Linked DNA regions of Macaca mulatta. The protein of the gene in region 3 interacts with the protein of the main gene of each other region in a pairwise test. Links are inferred from orthologs where the notes say so. Each region holds a gene or a part of one and is shown on either strand. Other genes may lie near its edges. The genes, in order: TOPORS, PIAS4, SATB1 and PIAS3.

The links.
Region 1: the proteins of SATB1 (region 3) and TOPORS interact in a two-hybrid assay, tested with the Homo sapiens proteins (2 studies listed by BioGRID and IntAct). The link is inferred for Macaca mulatta from reciprocal best matches to the Homo sapiens genes SATB1 and TOPORS.
Region 2: the proteins of SATB1 (region 3) and PIAS4 interact in a two-hybrid assay, tested with the Homo sapiens proteins (2 studies listed by BioGRID and IntAct). The link is inferred for Macaca mulatta from reciprocal best matches to the Homo sapiens genes SATB1 and PIAS4.
Region 4: the proteins of SATB1 (region 3) and PIAS3 interact in a two-hybrid assay, tested with the Homo sapiens proteins (2 studies listed by BioGRID and IntAct). The link is inferred for Macaca mulatta from reciprocal best matches to the Homo sapiens genes SATB1 and PIAS3.

Annotation. Positions count from the first base shown.
Region 1 is NC_133420.1:66,822,497-66,826,665, forward strand, and holds the start of TOPORS (E3 ubiquitin-protein ligase Topors), read left to right. Parts: upstream 1-1,350; 5' UTR 1,351-1,474; coding exon of another isoform or gene 1,475-1,517; coding exon 1,518-1,520; exon of another isoform or gene 1,521-1,627; intron 1,628-2,981; coding exon 2,982-3,176; intron 3,177-4,169. Other genes in the region: TZMP1 (small integral membrane protein 27), read right to left, coding at 1,035-1,157, 1,475-1,519. UniProt on the Homo sapiens protein: Functions as an E3 ubiquitin-protein ligase and as an E3 SUMO1-protein ligase. Probable tumor suppressor involved in cell growth, cell proliferation and apoptosis that regulates p53/TP53 stability through ubiquitin-dependent degradation.
Region 2 is NC_133424.1:4,851,304-4,854,862, reverse strand, and holds part of PIAS4 (E3 SUMO-protein ligase PIAS4), read right to left. Parts: intron 3,109-3,559; coding exon 3,035-3,108; intron 2,794-3,034; coding exon 2,633-2,793; intron 1-2,632.
Region 3 is NC_133407.1:30,103,318-30,107,676, reverse strand, and holds the start of SATB1 (DNA-binding protein SATB1), read right to left. Parts: upstream 2,844-4,359; 5' UTR 2,714-2,843; intron 52-2,713; 5' UTR 28-51; coding exon 1-27. UniProt on the Homo sapiens protein: Crucial silencing factor contributing to the initiation of X inactivation mediated by Xist RNA that occurs during embryogenesis and in lymphoma.
Region 4 is NC_133406.1:119,438,307-119,442,499, forward strand, and holds the start of PIAS3 (E3 SUMO-protein ligase PIAS3), read left to right. Parts: upstream 1-1,365; 5' UTR 1,366-1,382; coding exon 1,383-1,406; intron 1,407-3,393; coding exon 3,394-3,811; intron 3,812-3,968; coding exon 3,969-4,053; intron 4,054-4,193. UniProt on the Homo sapiens protein: Functions as an E3-type small ubiquitin-like modifier (SUMO) ligase, stabilizing the interaction between UBE2I and the substrate, and as a SUMO-tethering factor.

The DNA.
Region 1 (4,169 bases), on a different chromosome or scaffold from region 3:
CTGGTCATTCTTGACTTGGAAAACAGGGTATGGAAAAGTATTCAGTTACGTACTAGTTTGTTTGGTTTTTTTTCCTTATACAATACTTTAATTTGGTATCAGGGTATGCAACAGTGAATTTTCGCAATAAACAAATATAAGAACAGAAATTCCATGCACTTTTGTTTTAAGGAAATCTTTCCGGCTGGGCATGGTGGCTCACGCCTGTAATCCTAGCACTTTGGGAGGCCAAGGCGGGCAGATCACGAGGTCAGGAGATCAAGACCATCCTGGCAAACACAGTGAAACCCCGTCTCTACTAAAAATACAAAAAAATTAGCCGGGCATGGTGGCGGGCACCTGTAGTCCCAGCTACTCGGGAGGCTGAGGCAGGAGAATGGTGTGAACCCAGAAGGCAGAGCTTGCAGTGAGCTGAGATAGAGCCACTGACTGCACTCCAGCCTGGGCGACAGAGCAAGACACTGTCCCTACCCACCCCCCCCCAAAAATAAGGAATCTTTCCGAGTCATTTTTAAAGAATTTAGAAACTTCATTGAAAAGCTTATTTGCTGTTTTGTCATGAGAATGTAAAATACTAAAATTTCTAAGTTAAAAATTTGCATATTAGTGCTTGTTACAAAAGATAATGCAAAAATAAACTTGGGAACTTTGCATTATGAATTTTATTTTTAAATCTACATAAGCATGAGGGAAAGAACTGTATTTTCAAAGAATTAAATACAGAGGAGTTACAAATTTTCATTCGTCCCAAAGATTTTGTCTGTGTATTTCTTCCTTAGCTGTCGTCTTGCAGACACCATTAAAGCATAGATGATGCAGCCCCAGTTGATTAAAACGATGGCAAGCAGCAACTAAACCAAAAACTGCAAAAGAGGTGTGAAATGTGCCTGATATTTCTGCAAATTTGCATACTAGTGCTTGTTATAAAGGATAATGCAAAAATAAACTTGGGAACTTTGCATTATGAATTTTACTTTTAAATCTACCTAAGCATGAGGGAAAGAACTATTTTCAGAGAAGTAAATCCAGAGGAGTTACAAATTTTCATTCGTCCCAAAGATTTTGTCTGGGTATTTCTTCCTTAGCTGTCGTCTTGCAGACACCATTGAAGCATAGATGATGCAGCCCCAGGAGATTAAAACGATGACAAGCAGCAACTAAACCAAAAACCAAAAGAGGTGTGAAATGTGCCTGGTATTTCCCCCCGCCGTCAGGTTACCGTGTGCCATTGCTAAGGTGGGAATTAAAGTAACAAAGTCGAATAAATGGGGTTCCAGTGGCGGGTACACCCAGCTGCCCTTACGTAAGAAGCGGAAGATCGTATCCTCCAGGAAGAGGCGGAGTCGAGGTGAGGGAGTGAAATGCTTAATTCAGGAATGGATTTTGGAGTTTCTGGGTGCTGAAGAAGTAGAGCCTTTCTGCCTGCAGGCCCAGTGAGTCGACACGGTGGGGGCCCGCGAGCCCCGGGACTTACCACAGAATAAATCCAGTCCAGCGTGCGACGACTCACTGGCTTCATGGTAAGGAGGCGGCAGCGGTTCGCGGGAGCTGGCGGGAGTTGCGGGCCTTACAGTAACCTCCCAGGCGGTGGCTGCCCGGCGGCAGCAGCCATCTTTTAGCCGGGCACGAGCGGCCGCCCACTCGCTTCGTGCAGAGGTGTTGCCGGCCTCTTCCGCCCGGAGTTGGTGGGGGGGGGGGGGCGGGATCACGTGATCGGGGGCCTTGCCCGCCTTTTAGAGGGGAATAAACGAGAAAATGTTAAAAATTGCCTTTTTTTTTTTTTCCTTTTTTTGCCAACTAGAGAGATAGGAGATGGGCGTACCTCCACAGGTTTTCTTTATAGTTGCAATGCAGTATTAACGCAGGATGAGGTGCTGTCGTGTCCATTGAAAAGTTTATTTGAAAAACAATCCACGTTTTAAATATTACGTCGGGGTCTAAAGCTGGAAGAATTAATGCTTTCTCCCCCGGCTTCCCTACGCCTCTCCGCATCTGATACCACACGATTTAGATGAACGTTCGCCTGTTCATCTTTGACGTAAAAATACCACCCACTCTTTTGTATGTGACAGATCGTTGTGGGAACCCCTGTAAATCGAGCCGTTCTTCACAAATGTATAGCATGATGTATATCTCTAAGAAGAAATATGTGGGATGCGTTACCCGCCATAATGTACCAGTCAAGCAACAAGTGTTTTCTGAGCGTGTCTGAGGTTCTTGAACGGCCGCGCATGAGATACTGAGCCCCGAGCACGGCAGTTTGGCTGGCAAGCGTACCAGGTTCAGCTCTAGAATGTTTGGGACGCTCACATTTGAGGCCTGAGGAGTAGAATCTGGCAACGGGCCGCTTTAGGCTCTAGACGTTCTTTATACCTCGCAGTTATCTTAAAAGAGTTTTAGTCTAGATTTCAGGGAGTGGGAAGGGGAAGAGCGGAGAAAAACGTGGTCTGTTTAGGGAAGAGTCCAGGCCCTGTTTTGTTAGGTTGTCCTGTTTCTCCCCAGCCTGGAGGGGATCCCTCTCTGAAGATTTTATAGGATACTGGTTGGGCTCTGGTTTTGGATCCCGTTGGACTCCCGGTGTTGCTTCCGGGACTTCAACTCCGTGTAACAGTTCCCTTATCTAGACACTAGAGACAATTTCGTAAGTTCCCGCAGAGTTTGGTGAGGTTGAAACGACATCGAACTAGTTGTCGTGTTTTCCGGGTAAGTTAGGGGCGAACATTCAGTCAGTGTCCCCAGCGGCTGAGTACCAGTAACAAGATGGGGAGGGTCGCACTGCCCTCATCCCGGGTCTGGAGCTGCGGGGGAGGGGCCGCGTTTCGGCAGGCGCGCTGAGCCCCGCCCTCGGGGCCGGCGCCCATCTCCTGCGCATGCGTGGCGAAGGCGGGTGTTGTGTTTTGACGCGCCGGGAGCTGGTGGGTGGGTCTCACTCTCTGCCCTGCTTCCGAGCTGCCATTGGTGATGAGCGCTTTGCGTCACAGGGGTCGCAGCCGCCGCTGGGGTCTCCGCTGTCTCGCGAGGAGGGTGAAGCGCCCCCGCCTGCTCCCGCTTCGGAGGGTAGGCGGAGAAGTCGCCGGGTACGCCTTCGCGGATCCTGCCGTCACCGACCTAGCTTTCTGGGCTGCCGGGAGCTCGTGGCGAGCGCCCCAGCCAGGCCTGCGCCGGCATCCTCCGAGGTGAGTGAGATTCGGAACAATGGGACGTGGGGGTCGGAAGGGTCGGATGAGCTGACGCTCCCGCCTGGAGCGGCGCCTCGGGACCCGAGGGCTGCGGGTTTGGCCTGCGGGGCCGTCCGGGCCTCAGCGGGCCAGGGCCAGGGCCCCCGGGCGGCTTCTGCGCGCACCTGTGGATTGGTGCGGGCGGGCGAGGGTTGCGCTTCCCACAAGCGCTCCCGAGGGGCGCGAGCCTGCCCGTGTACTGGAAAGAGCTTGGTCTCAGGGAAAAACGAAAAAGCAATGAAACTGAATCGTGGCGTCACCCTTACAGGATATGTGACCTTGCCTAGGTCCCCTAAGCCCCTGAGCCTGTCTGTAAAATGGGAATAACAATATTTAAGTTCATTGTAGTTATGTAATGCTCATGGTGCCTATCTTAGGTCTGTCTAGTGGCAGTTCTGAACCAAAGCAAACGACTATCACCGTGGCTTTTGGACTCGTCTGTGCTGTTAAACATTCTGAGCAGAAATTGCCCGTGACTTGTTCATGCATCCAGTTACTGCAGCTTTCCTCATGGGTTGCTGATTGTAGGCTGGAAGGGGGCAGTGCTGAGATGAGCCACATAGTGATTTAAGAGGAAAACGGAGTAGACCTTTTGATAGGTAATTTTCAAGATTATTTAAGATAAATTAAGAAACAGCTGCCCGAGATTTTAGTAGTGGTGAGAACTTTCTGGGTTTTGTCCATGAAATGCAAAGAAAGCTATACAATCAGCTAAAATCAATCATGCTTGTCTGGAATGAGTGGTTTTAGAGGGGAACGGTTCCCAACCAATTCTTATTGCAGGAATTGGAATTCAATTTGATAGGATCTGGTCAGCAGATCGCATAACTTTTGTATCTTCTTTTGGAATTGATTAAAATGTATTTCAGAGAGGTACAGTGATTTCTTTAAGGTGGCAAGAGGTAGCGAACCTGTTTAAGTATGATGATTGTTTTGTTGTTACAGACTATC
Region 2 (3,559 bases), on a different chromosome or scaffold from region 3:
ATGAGGGTGTGGACTATGGATGTGTGGGGGTGTGTGTGACGGTGTGGACTGTAGGGATGTGGGTATGTGGGTGTGGGTTACGGTGTGGACTGTAGGGATGTGGGTGTGGGTTACGGTGTGGACTGTATGGGTGTGGGGGTGTGTGAGACGGTGTGGACCACATCCATGTGTGGACATGCGGGTGTGCGCCCACATCTGCTTTCATACTGCACTGTGTACCCCCCAGATCAGGAAACGGCCTGCAGTGAAGGCTGCTCAAAGCCGCTGCAGAGGCTGTGAGGGCAGCACTGGAAGCAGAGCCAGGGCTCCCCATGCCCATCCCAGCCACAGCCTCTCCAGAGCGCCCCCGCTGTGTACGGCCTTCTTCCTTGGAGGTCCCGCCAGTCCCATTTCACAAACGCAGAAACAGAGGCTCAGGAAGGGGATGAGTTCCCTGAGGCCACAGGGCCAACTGGAGGCAGGCACTGGTTCTGCTCCCCGACCCCGTCCTGGCCAAAGGGCCTCGGTCTCCCCACCCGCAGGAGGGAAGGGCGCAGTGGCTGGGGGGCGTCTGGGGAGAGGCCCCATGCCTCATGGGTCCATGCAGGGCTCAGGCTGGCCTGTTACTGTCAAGGCTACAGCTGCTCCCAGGCGCCTGCAGTGGTGTCGTTCTCATCACACAGGACAGCCCTCGTCCCGCTCTGGGCGACATTTTCTTTTTTTTTTTTTTTTTGAGACGGAGTCTCGCTCTGTCCCCCAGGCTGGAGTGCAGTGGCGTGATCTCGGCTCACTGCAAGCTCCGCCTCCCGGGTTCATGCCATTCTCCTGCCTCAGCCTCCCGAGGAGCTGGGGCTACAGACGCCCACAACCGCGCCGGCTAATTTTTTGTATTTTTAGTGGAGACGGGGTTTCACTGTGGTCTTGATCTCCTGACCTCGTGATCCACCCGCCTCGGCCTCCCAAAGTGTTGGGATTACAGGCGTGAGCCACCATACCCAGCCTTCTGGGCGACACTTTCTGAGGCTGATGGGACTCCTCTCACCCAGGCCAGTCCCCCGCCCGCCCCACCGAGGTCTCTCTGAGGCAATGCTCAGAGCCCCCTGTGCCGGGGGGCCACCCCAGGCGTAGCACAGCTCTGCCTGCTCACTGCCCTGTTTGCAAAACTCCTTCTCACCCTCCAAAGTCCCACCCCACAGCTTCTCTTCCTCCTCTCCAAGACAGACACAGCAGTTTATGTCTGGCTCTGCTCCTCTATCCGCTCCCCCCGCCAAGAACAAGGCTCCCTGTAGGCAGGGTCTGGAACAGGACTCTTTTGGGGACCCTGGGGTCACCCACTCAGAGCCAGGGACAGACAGACGACAGGGCTCATGGAACAAAGTATGAATCAAGGACCTCTCCTCCAGGAAGCCTCCCTGGCTACACTGAGTCCCATGGGCTGCTGAGGCCAAGGCCTGTGTGGGATACAGCTGTCTGCCCCAGCCCTGGTGGCCCTGGAGCTGTGAGAGCTGTAAGAGCTGCCGCCACCCCAAGCCCAAGCCCCACTCCGGGCCTGTGGGGGAAGGCGGGCACCCGGCTGCACAGCTGTCAAGCTGGGAACAGAGCAGCCATTCAGGCAGTCCACGTGCCCGGCCCCAGGGTCTCCTCTCTCTACCCGAAGCTGGGATGCAAGGGGGTGGCCACCCAGCCTTCCACAGAGGCGACCCAGACTCAGGCCAAGTTCAAGTCCCAGTCTGGCCCCCTGTGAGCCGAGGGGGGCTCCAGCTGCTGGCTGCCTCCTCTGAGCCTGTTTCCTCGTCTGTAAAATGGGGAAGCTCACAGGTCTGCCTCCCAGGATGGGGACAACTGCACAAACCGGAGGTCTACTTAGGGACCAAATCTATGACCCCAGAGGCAGGCCAGCCCTGCCTTCACCTGCACGGTCCACTGAGGCCGTGCACCCGAGGGCTGGGGGCCCAGCTCACCCCCCCAGGCAGGGCCTGCTCCCGCCTGTGAGGGCACCAGCTCGTGCCGCTGTGGCCTCACGCCCTGCCAGAGGCTCTGGGGACGAGAGGTGGGCGTGGCCGGCGCCATGCAGGAGCCGCATCAGGTGCCACAGACAACAGGGCTCAGTTTCTGGAAACTTAAGCCCTGGGCAGAGCCTCCCTCCAGGGAGAAAGGTCTTGTCCTCCTGTCCCCTGGTGCCTGGGGAATGCCTGGCCACAGCTGTGCCACCCAGGAAGGGAAGGGTATGGCGTGGCCAGAGCACTCCAGGGGCACCACCTCCTTCGCCTCTCTGTGAGGAGCCACCCCCATTGCTGCGCGTCCTGGGGCGAACGCCGTGTGAAAGCAGAGTCCGGCTTGGTTTTTTGGGGCAAAAACCACACTCCTGGAGCTCAAGGTCACACCTGCCTGAGGTCATGTGGGAGCGGGGTGGACCTGAGCCCGCCTTCTGCAGCCTAAGCTACATGCCTATCGCCTGCACAGCAAAGGCTCTGAAAAGTTCCGCGAGCAAGAAACGGGCTCTTCTCACAGCCCGGGGCTTCCAAAGCTCCGGGACCGTGTGTCCCCACTGCTGTGTCTTGCTGGGGCAGCACGGGGTCTGCAGGAAGCAGGGTGCTGCCGAGATCTCCATGGCCGCCCGGCTCCGGCCGCCCTCCCGGGGCCCCAGGCTCACCCATCGATGATGAGCTGGTCGTAGGGGGCTGGCTTGTCGCACACGGGGCACATCCAGGTGGGCTTCTTCTCATTCATCTGCAGGTAGAAGACGGCGTCGAAGCACTGCAGGTGGGCGCAGGTCTCTGCCCGGCAGGGCACAGAGAGCCGCATCTTCACCAGCTGCGGGGGAGGGGCTGCGTGAGCATGGCACCCGTCTGCTGTGCCCGCCCACCCGGCACCCCTCACCCCCAGCTCCATCCTGTGGCTTGTTCCAACGCTCATGCCTCAGGAACACGGGGGGACCAAGACCAGCCTTGCCCCCGCAGGCTCACGGTCCAGCCAAGATGCCCTGGGCCCAGGGCCACCAGGGAGGAAGTACAGCCGCAGGAGAGGCCCCAAGGAGGAGGCTGCCCCAACTCACCGGGCAGATGAGGGACACCCGCACACCAGTGGTGGCGATCTCGCTGTCGGGATCCAGGCGCAGCTTCTCCTTGACTGTGGGGAGGGAACGGAGGACGCCGTCAGAGAGGTGGGCACAGTGGGGCACAGGACTGGGATTCGGGTTCTCTCCAGCACCCGTGACCACCTCCCAGAATAGATGCCCCCAAAACGAGCCTTGAGCCTCGCTGTGTGGCTCAGGGCCACGAGGCACCAGAGGAAGTCAGGCGGCGACCACCATTAGATTTGACCACAACCTGGGCACACCACAGACCCAGCCGACGCCCCCACACGCAGGTGGCCTATGTGGCCTCCCCTACCCCGCGTGGGCTGTGACCCACGGGACTTTTCTGGAAAGTTTCATGCAACACAGCCACCGACGGGGTCATTGCTGTGACTTAATTCCGTCACTGACGCACCATCCCCAAGGCCACAGTGGGGAATGAGGCAGGGATTCCTTTGGGAGATGGACCCGGGGGCCTCCCGGCTGTGAGCCAGGAAGAGGCCG
Region 3 (4,359 bases):
CTGAGTTGCCTCGTTCAAATGATCCATACTCAGTCACTGTCTAAAGATCACCTGCCAGAATTTAAAAAGAAGACATGTTATAATTGGGTGGGGACCTACGTGTATATATGTGTCCTATGTAAATGTTTTAGCTCTAGATATCTCTCCACAAATATAATGTATTGGTAAAATGGCCTATCTAGATATGATACAGATGTTACTATATTTCTAGATAATAGCCTTACATTCTTATTTAAATTAACAAAATGATCTGTGGAAACTGTACCAATACACACGAATAAAAAGGCAATTGGCCTATAAAAAAAACTAAGTGGGGAGAAATGGGCTTACTTTTAGAACAAGAATTATCACAAGTATAGCTAAAAAGAAAACAGCAAATTTTATTTATGTAGTCCCAATTTTTAACAATTAGAAACTCATTACAAAATACAGCAGAAACACTTTAATAAAGGATGGAAAGATGATCACAGTTCAAAATATTAGAAATCTAATGTATATGTTTATATGTGTATGTACATATAATATACATATACATATATGTTTTATATGTATATGAATATAAATTCTGAGGAAAATCATACACAATCTCAAAAGAAGGTAACAAACATCTAACTGTTTTTTAAACTCCCCACTGGCTTTTATAAGTTAATGCATAGAAAAAGTTTTCCACTATCAAAGTTTCAAGAGTTATGTGACAGATCTAGTCAAGTCTTGGGTCAAACATGTGATTGGATCAGTTTACCCCTAAGGAAACAGGAAGAAGTGAAGGGTTTTCAAATATCCAATGTACTGATGCATTAAAACTCATGTGTTTTGTAGTATTTAGGTGTCCATTAGCAATAGAGGGCTGTTAACAATAAATATTTTTTAAAAATTTAGAATACACTTTGTGATATACACATTAGGTTGAAGTGCCAAGCTCAATTAAAACACACACACACAAAAAAAAAAACCTTGATGACACTGGTAAAACAAAATATCCAGTATTCAGAAACAACCTCAGCATGCAATGGCGTTAACATTGTAATTAACTTCAAAAAAATTAACAGATAATTATTTTCAGTTATATACTAGACATCAATTTTCACATCATTTATAGTAAAGTGATTAGATAATATCAAAGTCATTTTTAAAGCATAGTTTTAATTAGAATTGATAAGAACAGGTAAGTAGAATTATTTTATGAACTTTGATGGTATTTGAAATATTGAGCTTATGAAAATAAGGCATCATATTTAGGAAAACCAGAGAGAATAATTACCATTTTTCCTAGCTGTCTAGTAATTTGACATGGCTTGTTTTTGTTGTAAATTGTTACACTGAAGCTATTTAAATCTGGATTTGCTGAAAGCCAGTTTGTGTTAGCATGGCTTTTCTGTAAACATTTTTTTCTTCTGTTTAACCATAGCCTACTTCTTACCATATAATCAAGAAAAGGGGGGCAGTAATGTTAATCTGGAAGTTTAAAAGCAACCTTAAGAATGCCAATTGAAGAACTATAAAGTTTGAGAAAAATTAACGGCTATTTATCTTTGTACTCCAGAGTGGCACACTGAGAACTAAAGGTTTACCGTTGATCGAGGTCCCATCTGTTTTTGGTTATGAGGTTCATTAACAATAAATGTGCCTTTTTAAACCACTTTTTATCAAGATTACTCTTTTCCATTATATTAAACTGCAGTCTAAAGCCAAAATTAGAAAGCAATGATTATTAACTTATTCAAAACACTCTTTATAATGTTTCATGTGGATAATACAGAGCTGCTTTTTCTGAAATTGGTTGCCTCATCCTAGAGCAGAAGATGAATTTTAAAACATATGATTTGAAAAGAAAAATGTTTAGCCCTTGGGGCAATTTAAGAGGAAAAAAAGGGAGGGGGTGTAGACAACAGCATCAAAGTTAATGCTATAAAACATATTAAGTAATCATGAAGCTTAACAACACTATAAACCGTACAGCAAATGAAAATGATATATTATAATTTAGTTAATGTATTGACAATCAAAGTATCACATAGGTCATGAAAAACTGTCCTTTGAATACCCACCTATAAGCATCTATTAAACACTAAGTCATGGTGTAAAAAGCTTCACATTACAAACCAAAATTAAATGCACATAAAACACCCAATTTACTCATTTAAACTCTATGCCCGGGCTAAAGTTCACCAAACCACAGTTTGGAATTGAAAAGAGCAATCTCCAACAGGCCTGCCTGGATGACAGCAGCAGGAACTAACTATGGTCTCAACAGATGCCAGGCTGAAGAGTTTCTTTTGAGTTACACATGTTACAACCCATTTTAGTGTAATGTCTGGTTGCCACACAGAAAGCAAGCTACTTTCTGAAAATCCCATTTATCTGCCCATAAACTAAGACCATATATGATAATTACTTAATAAAACAGTGAACTCTAACAATTATTTCCTTTAAAAAGAAAGAAAAGCACGAAATTATAGTTTTTTAAGAACCGATTTTTTTTGCAAAGTGAGATCCTTTTCAATGAGTTTCTAGCTGGATCGCCTCCTTCGTCCCCACACAACCCCATAATCACATTTTAAGATTGTGCCCTTATCCATTCCATATGGCCGGCACGATCCAGGCCAAGCTTTCACTGTGACCTTTTAAAGAGACAAAGAAGCAAAGTACTATCTAGAAACAGAAACACTGCAGTTTTACTGAGTGAAATTAGCAAAACCGACCTGAAACTCACCACTTCAAAACTTGACAGCATATAAATAACAAAAACAAAGGAGATTTCCTTTGCAGACCGGGTTCTTGAAGAGAAGTTCAAGACTGATGTTTTCTATGTCCTTTTTTTTTTAATTTAAAAAAAAAAAAAAAAAAAAGCAGCAGACCTGAAGGCGACTTCCCCTGAAATTGTATTATTTTTCCTTTCCCCTACCCCCGCCCCCCTAAGCGGGGGAAGGGCAGAAATAAACGTCTAGAAGAGTAGCCATGAGAAAGGGGTTTAAAAAAAAAAAATCACAATTCGAAAACCAACATATATGCGTTTGTAAAATGTCTAACCTCAGAGAACGGGGTTTGCGATGGGGAGGAGGGGAGAGTGGGAAGCAGGGAGGAGGAAGAAGATAAAATTGATCTGACAAGTGATTCGTTGGGGGGAAATCGTAAAAACAAAGCAAAACCCGTTATGAGCTGTACACTATGATGGTGCTGGGGAAACGAGGTGGTGACTGAGGATTCTCTTTAAAAAAAAAAAAAAAAAAAAAAATCACTGCGGACAATGTCTCCAAAAAGGAAAAAAAAAAAGGCCCTTCGCGTCTCTCACTCCCTCCTGCTCGCTCGGGTTCTTCGGTGTGAGGACTGAAAGTCTACTTCTGGCTGTCACTTGCAATATTATTCTCCAACAAACCCGAAGAACGCGCACTGGGAAGGCCACCTTGCCTCCCTTCCAATCACCCCCACCCCCCTCCCCAACAATCGTGACTAATATTAACAAACCTTAAACTTTTCCCCACAGCCTCGCACCCCCAACGAGGGCATCTAGCGGGGGACAGCGAGGGTGGGGGGCAGAGGGTCGCGAGAAAAGCCCCGGAAAGGCACTAAAATGCCACTTTTGATTCTGCCCTCGCTGACAACAGCCCCAAGGACCCTCTCCCTGCCCATTGACGCGGGGCTGTGAGCGTCTGGGATCCCAGCAAGTGAGGAAAGAAGAGGTTCGGGGGGAGGGGGAGGAGGAGAAAGATCAGAAGGCACCCCCAGCCACCTCCACCGCCTAGGCAGCGACAAACTCCCCGCCCCCTCCCCCCAAAAAGTCGCCAAGCTCTCACTCGTCCAGAGTCCGAGGTAAACAACGAGCACCACAATGGCACTAGGACTTGGGGGGGGAAGAAACCCAGAAACCCCAACAAAACTGATCAGGAGTTTCCTGAAATGAAAGAGGGGGGCGGGCAGCGTCCTCTGGAGTCGCCCTGGCTTTCGGCTGGGCCCCCAGGCAGGCTAGAGGGCGGCCGCGGCTGTTGTTGTTGTGACGAGGCCGGGTGTTGCTGGGTGGCACAGGGAGAGGTGTGTGTGTGTTTGTGTGTGTGTGCGTGAGTGTGAGCGCGAGTCCCCGGACGGGGCTGCTTCTCTCGCTCTCTCCCTCGCTCGCTCTCCCCCTCGCTGCCGTCTCTGCCCCCATTAAATTATTAGTTGACTCATCCCGGCCGCTGTCGCCGCCGCCGCCGTGCCCCGCTCGGCTCCGCGCGTCCGCCCGGGCTGCAGCCCTCTCCGCCGCTGCTCCTGCTGCTGCTGCCGCCGCCGCCGCCGCTGCCGCTGTGGGTGCCTCTTCTTCCTCCTCCTCATTTTAATACAAAATCACCCCGCTCGCAGCCCCAGCCCCGAGCACGCAGCCTC
Region 4 (4,193 bases), on a different chromosome or scaffold from region 3:
CTTGGTTGGGATGGGGCCTCTGGAGGGTCCAAGGCTTTGGAGGAAGGAGAGTGAGTAGGTAGTTCAGAGAGGGACAGAAAGATTCCTTTTGTTGGCAAGAAAACCCCTCAATTCATCTTCAGCTACACCAAAGGTATGGGGGCTCTGGTGGAGGTACTGTGCAGGGGTATCTGGAGTAGTTACTGTTAGGTACACTTTGGATTCAGTAGCCCAGGCTTTGCCCTAGGGAGAGACAGTTGTCATTTCAAGGAAGACTGCTTTATACGGTCAGACACCTGGTTCACACGGCCTTAGCAGCAGCGTGCCACCACCCCAATCCCACACATAAGCGTGAGGGGTCACAGAGGTAGTGAGAATGATGGGATCCAAGGATCTCATCTCTCCAGATCCACTCACACCAGGAGTTAATCGCTCCAGCGCCAGGCTCTGAGTCCCTCCCTCTCTCGCCCGAGCTCCGCCCCCCTTCCCTCTCGGCGGTCCTGGCGGGCTTCCCGTGGAGGGGGCGGCCCCAGCCCGAGCGCTAGGCCGGGCGGAGCTCCGGCCCGGGCGGAGCCGCGGCCGCCGCGTCCGGCCGCTGGACCGAACTTCTGCCGTGCGGACAGCAGGAGCGGCGCCGAGCCCCATGCCCCCACCTCTCCAGCCCGCCCTCTGAGCCTCCCGAACCCTCTCTCCATTTCCCACAACTGTGCTGGTAAGTCCCGCTCCCCGCACCAAACTTTTTTTGCTGCTGAGTTTGAGTCCTACGATCGGACCACGAGCTGCATTGTAGTTGGTGTTGGGGGGAGGAGGAGAGGGTGAATTGAGTATAGCTGTCTTGAACTGAATGCCGACTCCACGGCTTCCCTAAGACGGATCAGCGCTCGCCCATTTCCCGAGTTGGAAGACCTCTCGATTTTAGTTGCTTAAACTTATGTAGAGATGGAGATGAGGGTTTGCGCTCCAACTTCGCTACCCCCTCCCCCATTTCTCTGAGCTCTAGCAGTTCCCGATACTTTCCCTCCATCTTTCAAGTATCTTTGGCTCTCTAAAAGCTTGTCCCCTCCCAACTCTGCCGTGGCAAAGCCCCCCTCCACCAGGCACTTCGGACCCGCCTCCTCTTCGTTGCCCTAGGGGACCCCGCGATCTTGGGGGCCATAAACTCCCTCCGGGGCTACGCGTCCTGCCAACCCGCCGCAGACGTGTAGCTGCTGGGTCCGCTGTGGAGGGAGGGGCTCAGGCTGGGGCTAGTCCGAAGCCAGGCGGGCGGGGCCGGGAAGGGGAGGTATAGGGGGCCGGACGGGGCGGAGCAGGCGGCATTTGCGGCCGGCGCCGGGGTGGAGAGTTGTGCGCCGGTCCCTGGGCCTGAGCTCCGGCTCCGGCTAGGGCGCCTGCGATGTCTCAAGATGGCGGAGCTGGGCGAATTAAAGGTACCGGCCCCCTCCCCCATCCCCATCTGGACTGATTCCGGCGGTACGCCGTGTCCGGGAAGCGACCGAGACTGGGTGCCGGGGCTCGGGTGGGCGCCGACGACGTGGCAGGCACGGGCTGCTGAGGATGGGAAAGAAGTGGCTGAGAGCGAGGAAGGGGCTGCGGCGGGGCTCCGGGGGCGGGGCTGCGGGGCAGATGTAGGGGTGGGGCCGAGGGGAATTGCAGCTGTTGGGGGCTGAGGCGCAGGGGGCGGGGACGAAGGGTAGAAGTCGGATTTAGTAGTAGGGGCAGTTGTTGGGGTAGGGCCAGGGGGAAAAGCTGCTCTAGAGGCACTGGGGGCGAGTCGATCGAGGCCAAGAGATGCGACAGTAGGGGGCAGATGCAGGGATGGGACCGCGGGGCAGATGTAGGGGAGGCTCCGGGGGAAAGGCAGCTGAAAGGGTAGGGTCTTTGGGGCTACTCTCGGGATCCGAGCTTTGGGAAATACCAGTAGGCGGCTGAGATGCAGGGGGCGGGGCTGTGCGGGCTGATACCTCGAGGGGTGGGGCAGAAGCATCCTGGAGGCTCAGAGGAAGGTCCTGCCTTAGTGAATCGCGATGTTTGGGCAGAGGCAGAGGCATGTGAAACTATGAGATAGAAAGGAGGGAAGTTATAGGGAAAGCTAATGGAAAAAATAAGACAGGACAGAGAAGATAAAGATTGGGAGAAAGAGGAGCAAGTTTCTCATCACATTCCACAAAAGGGGTCCAAGACAAAGCCTCCTGTGAGAAGAATTGTGTAGGGCTAGCAAGCCCTGCCCATGACAGGATCTCCTAGAGATTCACAGAAGGGAGTCCTCCCTCTAAGGAGAGCGCTCCCCTCCTTCTGCCACACAGAGTTTGGAGGGTGACCACGTCTGAGGACATCTCATAGAACCTTAAACCACCGAGTTCATCCCCATGCCTCCTGGTTTTCTTCTGCCCTTTGAAATGGAGCTATGGTCCTGGGCAGTCTGGAGGTCTAGCCACTGGGCCCAGCTACCTTCAGGAAATTTGCGATTCTGTGCCCTGACTCAGAGGCTTTTCCTTCATCCACCCAGGGCCTCTGTTTAGAGCTCTGCCCGCTCCTCTTCCACCCGTGTAGGGGGGCTGTAGGTTGTACAGGAGTATTATTTTCTCTCTGTAGGAGAGACGCCAGATAATGGTTCCTGGCAGATAGAGTAAACAGGCAGGATACTTGGACTCAGTGAATCACTGTTAATCTCCTCAACCTAAGTTTTGGTCCTGTTTCCCTTCCAGAAAAATAGGACTAAGTTGTGGGGAGGGGGCGGTTATATTAATGATTCCAAGAAAGGATCTGGGGGAGTAATGAGCATTGAACCCTGACCTGAAAACCCCGGCCCACAGAAGCTTCAGAGGCTTGGGGGAAATAGCTGAGGAATTAAGGTGGTTTGGAGGGGTGGGCTGAAGGGCACAATCCTCCAGCCACCTGGCCCCTTTCTTCCCCGTGGGGCTGTCTGGCTTGAATCCTCTTGTCTCTCCCTCCTTCTCCCTGTCTCCTATCCTCTTCCCAGGAGGCTGGGATGAGTTTGAGTGTCTGAGAAAGGGCAAGAGAGGAGATAAGCAGCTTAAAGGAGAGTCCAGACTAGAGGCAGGGTTGGAGGCGGGAGGCTGTGTAGACTTGGAGGTGTGTCTGAGGGTGGCTTGCTGTCTGCCATTCCCTGCCCCACTCTGGCCACTTCCAGGCCTGGGGAGACAGACAGTGTTGCTCAAGCTTGGGGTGGGCAGGGGGTGGTGATGATGCTGACCTGATGGTTGCTAAAGTGGGACTGAGATGTCCCTTTGGATAGGTTGACTACCTGGCAGTAATCCACTAGCTGCGAAGCATCATCTTTCCCATCAGTGCTGGAGGGAAAAAGGCACTGCCCACCTGGTAGCTCAGCCCATGTCTTGGCAGGGCAGGCCTGTGCAACGGAGGATTCTCAAGCTTCTCTGTTCTTCTCCACAGCACATGGTGATGAGTTTCCGGGTGTCTGAGCTCCAGGTGCTTCTTGGCTTTGCTGGCCGGAACAAGAGTGGGCGGAAGCACGAGCTCCTGGCCAAGGCCCTGCACCTCCTGAAGTCCAGCTGTGCCCCTAGCGTCCAGATGAAGATCAAAGAGCTTTACCGACGACGCTTTCCCCGGAAGACCCTGGGGCCCTCTGACCTCTCCCTTCTCTCTTTGCCTCCTGGCACCTCTCCTGTAGGCTCCCCTGGTCCTCTAGCTCCCATTCCCCCAACCCTCTTGGCCCCTGGCACCCTGCTGGGCCCCAAGCGTGAGGTGGACATGCACCCCTCTCTTGCCCAGCCTGTGCACCCTGATGTCACCATGAAACCATTGCCCTTCTATGAAGTCTACGGGGAGCTCATCCGGCCCACCACCCTTGGTATGGCTCTTTGTGGTCCCTTAGTCTTCTGGACTCCCTACCTGTTCCCCAGACATTTCTTAGGCTTTAGTCCTATGGGATCAGTGACCTGGGATGGGGGTGATTTCTGTGGCTGCCTGTGCATGGGCTTGGAATAACTGCCCCTTTGTATCCTCAGCATCCACTTCTAGCCAGCGGTTTGAGGAAGCGCACTTTACCTTTGCCCTCACACCCCAGCAAGTGCAGCAGATTCTTACATCCAGGTACATCTCTTCCAGTCTTCCTCCCTCATCCCTGGGGGGTTACCCCTGGACTCTGCTTTCTGACTTTCTTCTCTTCTGCCCTGCGCTTTTCCCTATCCATCCTCTTGTGCCTACTTGTCTCTCGTTCTTTTGTGTGTCTC